Linked DNA regions of Caenorhabditis elegans. The protein of the gene in region 1 purifies or fractionates together with the protein of each later gene. This does not show direct contact. Each region holds a gene or a part of one and is shown on either strand. Other genes may lie near its edges.

Region 1 (3,861 bases):
AGTAATCGAAGTCCAGCTTCTGGTCCTTGACATTTGTTTGTAGGTAGAAGGACGGCTATTACTCGCTTCTGAAAAATATATAATTTATATTTCTACTTTTTTTCAATTACCTAATTTGAAAGATACAGTCTTGAGAGCTCCACTACTCAAAGAAGTTCGAAGTGCGCGTTGACTTTTGATTTCATCGTACATGGTTTTCAGCAGAGTTTCGAGATCGTCAACTTTGGCACTAAAATTATTTTTTCTGAAACAACTTTCGTACTTCATTTTGATACCCTAGAACCTCGGTCATCATCTGAAGTCGTTCGATTTCGACGATATTTCGGTCATCTTTTCTTGCATAGTATAGAAATATACCTACAGCCGCACCTGTGGCTGCTGTTATTCCCACATATTTCCATACAGTTTCAGAACTTGTAGACGGCGTAGTCATCTGTTAAGCTTAGAAAATACCAATGGCTCACTGATTTAGAAGTATAAAGATTCAGGCAAGAACCGGACCGTTATGACACGTGACAAATTTTATAGACAACTGGAGTGTAAGAGATGGAAAAAGAAAAGAAGAAAAGCAAAGTGACATCGGGGAGGAAGTTTATTGAACGTAATAAAATATCAAAGGATCACTGAAATATCAGCTGGACAAATTCAAACAAAACAAATGAAAACAGTAATTAATTTTAGATAGATTAGATCTAATTACCCAATTTAGCTTTTTTCACTGGATTCTCTTCTCCTATTTCGAGAGCTTTCCGTGCCATGGCAATTGCTCCTTCACGAGTCAGATTTCCTCCAATGAATCCGGAAATGTGGACAAAGACTCCGCCTGGGATTCCACTTTCCTTCGAAAGATCGTCATCACGGAGACCACGCCAAGCAGCTGGAAGTGGCATGCGATTCTCGAATGATGACATTTTGTCGACTGGGATTGCTTGAACGCGCCACGAAGCATTGGTAGAATCTAGAAAACAGATAATAATTATTGAATTTTAAAAAATTAAATAATTTCTAACCCGAGAACAGAATGTAAGTGATATTATCGTCGGCAATATTCTTCTCTACTTCAATGTCGAAAAAGTGTTCTTTCCACGGGCATCCACCGTTCTCGATAAGAATGATCCTTCCAGATGCATCAATTTCAAATCGTTTATCCACAGCAGCTTCGATGATCTCTCTAGCTGGCCACCAAACATTTGCCAAGTACTTCACTGATCGTGAAAACTCTTCACCGATGAATTGCATTGCTTGTTGGAATCGTTCATCAGCATCATTCTCAGGTTCATTCCAATGGGAATTGAATTGACCAGTACGCGATGAAAGATTTCCTGATGAATGATATCTTGGAACTCCGTCGTATTGAGAAATCCCGTTATCAATGGCGTCGATTGATTCAACGAATTGCTCGTAGAGACGATGATAGAATAGATCAATCATCGAGGATGACACATTTCCACCAAGGATCTGAAGTTAATAGTTTCAAAACAACCTTTTGATTATTGAAAGTTACCTGATTGATGACTTCTCTCCCGTAGTGAGCGTAAACTAATCCTGCAGAGCTTAGTTTTGTATCAAAGTTAAGCTTCTCTAGAGTACGCATGGTATCAGTGAATCCACGTTGATGATGATCGTATCGTTGTTTTGAATGATCAAAGATTCCACCGACATCGACGATAATATCACACTTCTCCAGTTGAGCAGCGTCACGGGTTCTGAAATTACAGATTTCAGAACTCAGCTATAAAATAAATCCTAATAAAAAAGTGGGTCATTTCGCAAACTTGATAAACATGAAAAATCGAATTACCTTAAAATCGAATGATCCTTGAATTGTGGCAATTGTTTCAGCATGAAACAAGCAAAAGCCTCATCGCAATGGAATTTTCCGGAGTGAGTACCAATGAGCGATGTCATCTTGTGACCGAACTGTCCAAGAAGTCGTGAAATCACCTGCAGAGAGAAAACATTTTAAAAATCAAATTACCTATCTTTATGAAACCGTTATCAATAAGTAGTTTAAGATATGATGCTCACGTTCAAAACGAAATTTAGAGGTAATAAATAATAAACACAGAATAAATTTCAAGTAATTTATGAAAACGTTAGTCATGGAATGAATTTTTGAAACCGGGCTTTAAAAAAAAGTAAGTACAATATCTACAATTGAAAAATTTGATTGAAACGGGCGACACTTTTGCAAAATGTTATGCGAACGACATTCCAGGGTACTTCACGTTAGTTTGGAGAAAATGTTCCATTTCGTGTCGAGTCCGTGGCTGTGCATAGTCACCGATGTAATGTTCCTTGTAAGTTCGATAAAGCTCTTTCGCTTTTTCACATGATAAATGAGCATAATGAACCGGAACAGGCAACGAGATGGGTTTTCGACATCTAGCAGAGAGAAAAGCAAGTCCGTAGGTCATTTTCTGAAACATTTTTTTATAATAACTATATGCGGATTACAAAATCCTAAAATCGCTAACTGCTATTCAAAACGCTTACATAGACTTCATCTTGGCTCATTCCTTTATCGTCATACATAACAGTGTAATGTCCTGGACGAGATGTACCAAGGACACCATGATGAGATGCCAAGAAAAAATCGAATTTGTATTTCGAAACGATAAGTTTATCCACAGTTGTTCCGGATGATGGGTTCACAATTCCAGTTTCTTTGCTTTCTTTCATATCCTCCTCCCATTGTTTAACAGCAGCAACAGCGACATCTGTTTCAGCAGGAGTAAGATCTTTATTGACCACTGGCTTATCTTTTTCCATTCTTCGAAGCAATCGTGTATTGTGTCTTTTCTGAATCACAATGAACGTGTACTTCGGCTCTGGATCTTCTCCATCCCGTTCCGACATGAATTGTTTTACTTCGCTTTTTAAAGATCGAAGCTCATCATGACTAACACGTAGCATCTCCGAATCGCTAACTCCGTCTCGATAGACTACAATATGCGCTGGTGCTCGATTGTCGTTGTTCTGAAAGTTTACAAAAAAATTAAAAATCCCAGAGATCTTTTAAATACTCAAGACAACTCACTTCTGCGAATTCTCTGAGCAATTTCACGAACTTTGCTTCCAAAATATCTGTTCTTTCCCGTCCATGAGCCACTGCACGCTCACCGGGACGACATTCTTCTTGAGTCACAATCATATTTCGATAGATAGTTCCACCTGGATTGATACTCGCTACTACAGCCGCTATAGAATAATCAATTCCACTGTAGGAGGTTGGATGAGTTACATCAATTCCAACATACATAGTTAATGGCATTGTTTTCCGTCTTTCTTTTTCTTCTGGTGATATTTCTGCAATTTCTGACCAGTCAAGCTCCTGGTTAATACCTCCTAATTTCGCGTTGATTTTCAATGCAATTTGATAGAAAATTCGTTTTGATCCTTTCTCGTGCCTTAGTGATGCCAAAGCTTTTGTGACTGTTTCAGAAGTAATATGCTGATTAGCTACACCGATGGTGTGATCGCAATAATGTTTCACAAAACCGTAAGCATTCAGTTGTCGTTTGGAAATGATAATGAACATTAAGACTTTTTGTTCTTTATCGGGAAGACGTTCAAACATATTCTTCGCTTCTGTTGCGGCTATTTCAAATCTACCGATTCCGGTATTTAGTGTACAATTTTTGTAGAACTGTAAATATGATATTTAAAAACTTTCAATTTTCTGAAACTTACGGCATATTCATTTTTCGTCGCGTCGTACATAATAGATTGCGCTCCTCTGTTTTCATTGGCACCAATTCGTATTCCACGGAACTTGCAACCACCAATTAGTTCGGTGTAGAACTTACTGAAAATATTTCGGAATAATCTACGTAGAAAACACTTACACAACGTCGTTCT
Region 2 (4,113 bases), on another chromosome or scaffold:
AAAATTTTTGATTTTCTGGTTAAAAAAATATTAAAACGGAAATTTTTCGATTTTTCGTTTAAAAAAACCTCTATTTTTTTATTTCAGAAAATCAAAAAATAAAAACGAAAATTGTCATTTTTTCGGTTAAAAAATTATAAACCTGAAAACTATCAATGTGAAAATTCTTTTAAAAAAATCAAATTTTTGAAAAAAGATTTTTAATTTTTGATTTTCAAACCATAACTTCAACAAAAATTGTTTCAGGTAGCCGACCCAATGATGATAACTCTTCACATAGCCTACAAGAATCTCCATCGTCCCGATTTCGCGAAAATACTCGATCTCACACTCAGCCTCCGTGATCAACAAGAAGAAGCTACCTAAATTGAGCCGCTGTCAAATCATGATAATTCTGTGAAATTTCAAAATCTCAGGTTTTCCTGGCATATCTCATCTTCCCGATCTACAAACAATCTAAATTCTTTTTTTTTAATCTAAAACTTTCAATTTGCTCTGTTTATCTGTATAATTTTGATGATTTTTGTTTTGTTGAAAAACTTTATTTTAAACTTTTATGAAAATTAAATTGTAAAAGTAAAAGGGATGTTTTTACAAAAGATCACGTTCTTCTTTCGGGAAGATTGTCTCAAGATTCAAGACTCCAATCTCGAAGGTTTTCTGAGCACGTCCACCAGCCGAGATGTACTTGTTTGGAATACGGAATTTGATTTTTCTTTGTCCTGGAATAATTCCATCATCACAATCATGATACACTTTGAACACTGGATCGATATTTGTCAATTCACGTTCGGATCCTTCAAGACGGAATGTTCCATCATTATTTGTGAATCCCTCGTCAAGAACATCATCTGGATCTGGACCATCATCTTCATCCCATAGCTTCACTTTTACTCCTGAGGCTGGCTTACTTCCGCACATTAATTTGCCTGAGACGGCGACTGACTGGAATGTTTGAAATTGGGATTAGGTCGGGGAACAACTCGAATTTTAGGACTTTTTTGAAAAAAACTGGGAGTTTTTTTTGAATTTCCTAAACTTTCAGTTTTTAATTATTTTTTAAGTTTTACGATTTTAGGGACAAATACAGTCCAACTCTCGCCACGAGAGAAAGTTTTTCAAATCGAGACTGCGAAAAATGGTATGTGCCTTTAAATAGTACAGTAACCACGTTATTTCGCAATTTTCTTCATTTTTTAAATGTCATCCAGACACGAAATTAAGCACTTTGCTCCCTAAAAATACAGTACTTGGTCTCGACACGACGAATTTTTGTTAAACGTAAAAAGGTGTGCTCCTTTAGAGATTACTGTAACTTCAAACTTTTGTTGTTGCGGAATTTTTCATCGATTTTTCATAGTTTTTCTCACGATTAAAAAAAAAATATTTTTATATCAGAAGCCTAGGAAAAATCGATGAAAACTCTGCAGAATCGAGAGTTCAAAATTACAGTATACTCTTTAAAGGCGCACATCGTTCTATATTTAACAAAACAAAATTTTAAATGTGTCGTGTCGAGACCGGGTACTGTATTTTCGAAACAAAAATCTGAAAATTTCACTTCTGTGTGAATAACCAAATTTTAGTGCAAGAAATTATTAATTAAATTACTGAAAATTAAACTTTCCTATTTTTTTTTCTACATTTCTGATTATTTTTCTAAATTTTGTCGGAAAATACGGGGTTCTGGGCTTCCTCATTGAATTTTTCGCGCTCCATTGACAATCGCCTGCCGGACAACGCGTGTGAAAGTCGTGTACTCCACACGGACAATTACATTTAGTTTTGCAACTAAAACCGAGCCGCGACGCGACACGCAACGTGCCGAAAATCTCCCCAGATATGGCCGAGCCAAAATGACCTAGTTCGGCAAACTCTTCCATTTCAAAATATGAGGGAAGCCAGAACCAATTGAAAACGATAAGGAGAAGTGGGTTACTGTATTTCTTAAAGGCGCAAACGTTTTTCAGTGGCTTTGATTCTATTTTTTTTATTCATTTTTAGTAAAACATGGTGCATCGTCGCGCAAAAATTGAAAAAAAATATATATAATTCGGAACACCTCAGCCTGAATTTTCGGCAAGACTAAATGATGATGCTTTGAAAAACAAGAAAACAAACCTGTTGTCTCATGGCCAAAGTGCAGCCGAAAATGGCGCAGAGTAGAAGAAAAGTGTACTTCATCTGAAAAAAAATCATATTACAAATCAGACTTTTTCTGAACCTGAAAAAATGAATGTGTTACGGTTATTAGCGAGAAAACTGGATTTTCAAGCGAATCTTTTCAGCTACCGTACTCGTGGGGTACTGTAGCAAAAACGAAGTTTCGCTCGTGCCAAGACCCGATTCAAGTGATACGTGGGAATTAAAAAATAAAACGAAAATAACTGATATTAAATCTCCGAGAGCCTCTTCTGCCAAGAACAACTGTCTCGAATTGATAGAATGGGGTGGAGTGAGGAGTTTTTATAGGAGTTTGGAGAGTACAGAGAGCACAAGAATGATTCATCCGAAGAACTTTTAAACATTTCAGTGTCACAATGGAAAATGATGTTATCATCGGAAAACAAAAAAAGAAAAAGAAAAACATGAAAATTCAAAAATAGAACTTTTCTGTCCGGAAATGGGATGATACTGATATTTGTATAAAAGGAACTATTGGTTCATGACAAGACAATTTAATTTTTTGTCTGACTCTGTACTCTGTACCCACAACTTTTTCTACGTGGCCGCGAAAGAGAAACCCCGGCCACCCTCATCATTTTGGGGGATTTTCTTGAAAATTGGTTTTCCGGATTTATAAAATTCCCCTTTTCTGGGCTCTTGTGGGTATCGATTTCTATATTGTGAAAAATCAGAAAAAAAAAGAAAAAACTCGGCCACTGATTTTCGGCCACGACGATGTAGAAAAATGTAAAAAAATGTTGAAAAATACATGCGTTTTTTAACATTTTTCTACACACATGAATAGGGGAAAAACTGTATAAAAATACATTTTTGCATTTTTCGTCATCACATTAATAACCCCATTACACGGCCCCGTGAATTGGTGGCCGAGATTTTTTCTAGGCTGTAGCTGATTGTTGAAACTAAACTTATATTTTAAAACTAACAAACATTTATACATATATGGAAACCAAATTCTATTGAAATAATGAAAACTGTCAACAATTATTATAACTTATGTACCTGCCAAAAAATAGTTCAGCCATGACGAATTTTCGCACTATGTATGTTTTCAAACTTTTGATCTTTTTTCTGAGTCATCGGGACAGGTCTTTGTATCTCTCTAGGTTTAAATTGGCTGAACACAATAGTTTTCACATTTTTTTCATATTGTTACGAGTTTGCATAAAAATATAATTGGTTCATCAGAAAACATCAAATTTTCTTCACTTCTTGATATTCTTAAATTCCTCAAACCTGCAGCAACGAAGCTATTTATACGGTACCTGGTCTTGACACGAAAACTTTTTTAATGCAAAAAGTTGTGCGTCTTTTACGGGTACTGTAATTTCAAACTCTTGTTGCTGCGGAATTTTTCTTACTATTGATTTCCCCTATTTTCTTAGTAGATCTACAAAAAATTCGGGAGTATACATAGATGCAGAGTTCTCATCAGATTTTCTCATGGTTAAGAACGTGCTGACGTCACATTTTCTTTGGGAATAAAATCCCGCAATTTTTGTAGATCAAACCGCAATGGGACAGCCTGACACCACGTGTCTAGGTAATATAACACTACAAGTAAAATTTTTCGCCAATAAATTGTGGCGAGACCCATGTGCGCCTTTAACTTAACGGCATTCTCTTGATTTTTGATTCGTTCTCTGATAAGAAAAGTCTAGTTTTCTAGTTCCCTGTCACATGAAACTTTGATCGGTCTGTGCTCGTGAACTCTTTTCCCATCAAACAAATGCCAATCATGAAGCCTAATCGTTATCAGTAGTGTAATCAGAAAGATTGGAAAATAAAATGGACAACTGTCCGCCTCTGTCAACAACAATTTCTCACAAACACAAAACATTTGGGGCTCTTTTTCATTTGGCTCGGCTTCTTTCGAATTGAGTGACTAAAATTCAAAATTTAAAATTTCAAAGTTTCAGATCATGA
Region 3 (2,944 bases), on another chromosome or scaffold:
AGTAACGTCGAAAGTTGCCTTGTAAATTGGCTCATCGAAACATGGGAATGCATAGCGAGCATAAGTCGACTCAAACTGAGTTGAAGCCAAGAACTTTTCGGTGCCGTTCTTATCCTTGTACTGACTGCGATAAAATCCTCGCATCTTATCGTTCAGTTCACCGACAAACTTGAAGTCGAGCTGAACCTTCTGTGGCTGCATGGTAGTCGGAAGCTTGATAGTCAAAATATTGAGCTTATCGTCGTAGCTAGTTTCGAGAGATTTAGAAGCGTCTCCTGGCTGAGTGATAAGCGATACCGACTGAATCAGCAAACTCTGTGCATGCACCTTCAAGACATCAGTAGCTTCTTTGATTGTGACGTCAATCGTTGCATGACCATCGAAAGAGAATCTGAAAAACAAGAATTAGAACTTGAAGTGGTTTTGTTGCAAATTTAAACTACATATCAACATTTATTACTGCCGTCCTAGCTAAACTGAAATATTATTACAGAACTTACTGGTTGAGGCATGGCGATAAACGGACGTTGTAATGAGTTGGTTCGGCGAATGTTGGAAGCCTCTCAAATTTGACCGCCGCGCTTGGGTTTCCACAGGCCGCCATTCTGAAAAGTTTTATTAATAAAATGAATTTTTGACACAACTAAATTGAAAGAAAGAGAAGGATATCACAAATGAAAAAAAACACTACTAGGAATGGCGGGAAATGTGGAAAGGAGTTTCTGATTGGAATAAAAAATTAAGAGACGACTGTAACGTTATGCTCCGTGGCATCATCTTGCTTTAATCCTTTAGCTTCTGATGCTTTTTCTTGCTCAAAAGTGTCGAGCGATTCAGGAGTGAAAGCAAATGGAAGAAGAGCGCGAGTTGAGGTGATGAGAATTTTATTGTTAGATGCAGTTCCCACAACAACCTGCAACGATGACAGTGAAAAATTAAGAAGCTCTAGTTTTCTTACTTTATAGTCACCGAATTCAACTAGAAATTGACGGCAAAGTCCACAGGGAGACGCAGGTTCGCTGAGCTCAGTGACGACAGCAATGGCACGGAATTTCGTGTATCCTTGTGACACAGCAGAAACAATAGCACTACGCTCAGCGCAGATAGTGCCACCGTATGAAGCATTCTCGACATTGCAGCCTACAGAAAATGCTAGAAACTTCAAAAATGCATGTTGCGAAACTGAGAAGCCCGCAGACATCTCGAGTTATGCAACGACAAGAAATCACAAATTACCCTGGACAATTTCCCCAGATTCAGTGAGAAGCGCTGCACCAACTGGAAACTTGCTGTATGGGCAATGTGCCCGTTTCATCGCAGCTCGGGCCAAATGAACTAGTTCCACATCGGAAATATCTTGAGGAAGACTATTCGCGGCCATCTGTAGTTAACTATGACAAAAGTGCATGAAATGAGAAGCGAATGAGGCGAATTAAATTATTAGAAGAACAGAGAACAACATTGATGAGAAAAGTTAGCAATACACAAAAGAATTTGCGTTGTGGAACGCATGCAAAGTGACGTTAAATCCCATATTCAGTGAACGGGTCGCGTTATATTTAAAAAAAACATGACAAAATGGGAACTTTGCAACTATTTTTCAGCCTCAACTTCGAGAATTGGTGAAATGAAAAATCCACGGGACATTTTTGCGCGCGCGCGGCCCGAGAAGTGGTACCTGTACGCAATTTGTCTACCGTATACCTGGACGTTTGGGCGCGTGTATCTCAAAAACGGTTGGTCCAGTTTTTTTGTGATGCATATAAATAATGTCCGAAATTAAATTCTAAATTTTTTGGACCAAAGCTTTTTTCATTATCACGCGCCCAAACCTGGTCTACACTCAAATTATCAGTAGAGCGCATTTGCATAGATGTACCACTTGCCGGGCCGTGGCGCGCGCGCGCATTACAAAAGTCAAAAAAATGCGCGAGCGTGTTTGCGTATCTCATTGCGTACTCCAGCGTACCGTAGTTTGTCGACCACGAACGTTCGTTCGCGAACGAATTCGAACTCAATTCAAACTTGTCTCTCTTTTTATAACAATGCCGAAATCATTGCGAAAACGGTTTGTACTTGTGAGTATCGATGATAACATCGAACAAATTAATGCTGCACGAAAGCTTCGTCGCTATTTGGTGAGTTTTTTCTTTAATTATTCTTCCTAATTCATATTTTTAGACGAACAATCACTTGAATCACATTTTCTCGTCAACTCCGGAAGAAATGAAAGAATATTTGGATAAATTGGACAGTGGAACTTTTAATTTTCGAGAAACAGCCGAGGAACAGAAATCGGTTGATCCGTTTTCGGAAGCAAACCAACCCGCCATTCAGATGTCTTCAAACCAAGAAATATTAGAGAAATGGGCGGTAAGGATTGAATAACTCGAATATTGTTCGAAAATAATAAAAAGTATTTCAGCGCGGAACTTTCGCCGAAAACTCGGATGCGTTGAAACTTTTGCTCGAGCCAACTAACATCGAGGAAGATGCAGTTTTGGATGATCACGAATCAGAGAACATTGTAAACAGTAAGAGTTCGTTCATTTAATTTTTAATATTTCGCTGATAACAGATATTCCGCAATTGTTTATGGTAAACTCAATGGATGCTGAAACACCAAATGACTCGATAATCGTTGAAAACGGAAAGGAAGATCAACTTGATATGGCATATTGTTCGGTGAGACCCCGACAATTGCGTCAGATTCAACTACAATTTTCAGCTGTGCAAGCATGAAGTGGAAACCGGTAGAAACCGAAATACAAAAATTAGGAAACAGACTGAACATGTTCTAGACGCCCACCCAGAATCGGAATTTCTCAATGTAGACATAGCAAAACGCTATGAGTGTGTCCACTGTTTGAGAACTCTTCCTGTGTCGAAATCACCATGTGAACATATTTCTGAACACCACGATAAAACCCACGTGGAAATTGAA

Evidence for each region.
Region 2: the proteins of C27H6.8 (region 1) and ttr-51 fractionate together in Caenorhabditis elegans (co-fractionation; one large-scale study listed by BioGRID). This does not show direct contact.
Region 3: the proteins of C27H6.8 (region 1) and cdd-2 fractionate together in Caenorhabditis elegans (co-fractionation; one large-scale study listed by BioGRID). This does not show direct contact.

What each region holds. Positions count from the first base shown.
Region 1 is NC_003283.11:9,985,845-9,989,705, forward strand, and holds C27H6.8 (MYG1 protein C27H6.8), read right to left. Parts: upstream 1,945-3,861; 5' UTR 1,909-1,944; coding exon 1,802-1,908; intron 1,707-1,801; coding exon 1,505-1,706; intron 1,459-1,504; coding exon 1,011-1,458; intron 959-1,010; coding exon 693-958; 3' UTR 587-692; downstream 1-586. Other genes in the region: rmd-2 (TPR_REGION domain-containing protein), read right to left, coding at 1-68, 111-229, 276-433; rde-1 (Piwi domain-containing protein), read right to left, coding at 2,199-2,420, 2,497-2,979, 3,041-3,649, 3,694-3,808, 3,849-3,861.
Region 2 is NC_003282.8:13,250,128-13,254,240, forward strand, and holds ttr-51 (Transthyretin-like family protein), read right to left. Parts: upstream 2,185-4,113; coding exon 2,122-2,184; intron 946-2,121; coding exon 592-945; 3' UTR 528-591; downstream 1-527. Other genes in the region: JC8.7 (Zinc finger, CCHC-type), read left to right, coding at 247-366; ttr-45 (Transthyretin-like family protein), read left to right, coding at 4,110-4,113.
Region 3 is NC_003282.8:7,546,513-7,549,456, forward strand, and holds cdd-2 (Cytidine deaminase), read right to left. Parts: upstream 1,382-2,944; coding exon 1,237-1,381; intron 1,141-1,236; coding exon 959-1,140; intron 914-958; coding exon 740-913; 3' UTR 606-739; downstream 1-605. Other genes in the region: pam-1 (Puromycin-sensitive aminopeptidase), read right to left, coding at 1-391, 501-605; oef-1 (C2H2-type domain-containing protein), read left to right, coding at 2,046-2,138, 2,182-2,373, 2,426-2,534, 2,579-2,685, 2,729-2,944.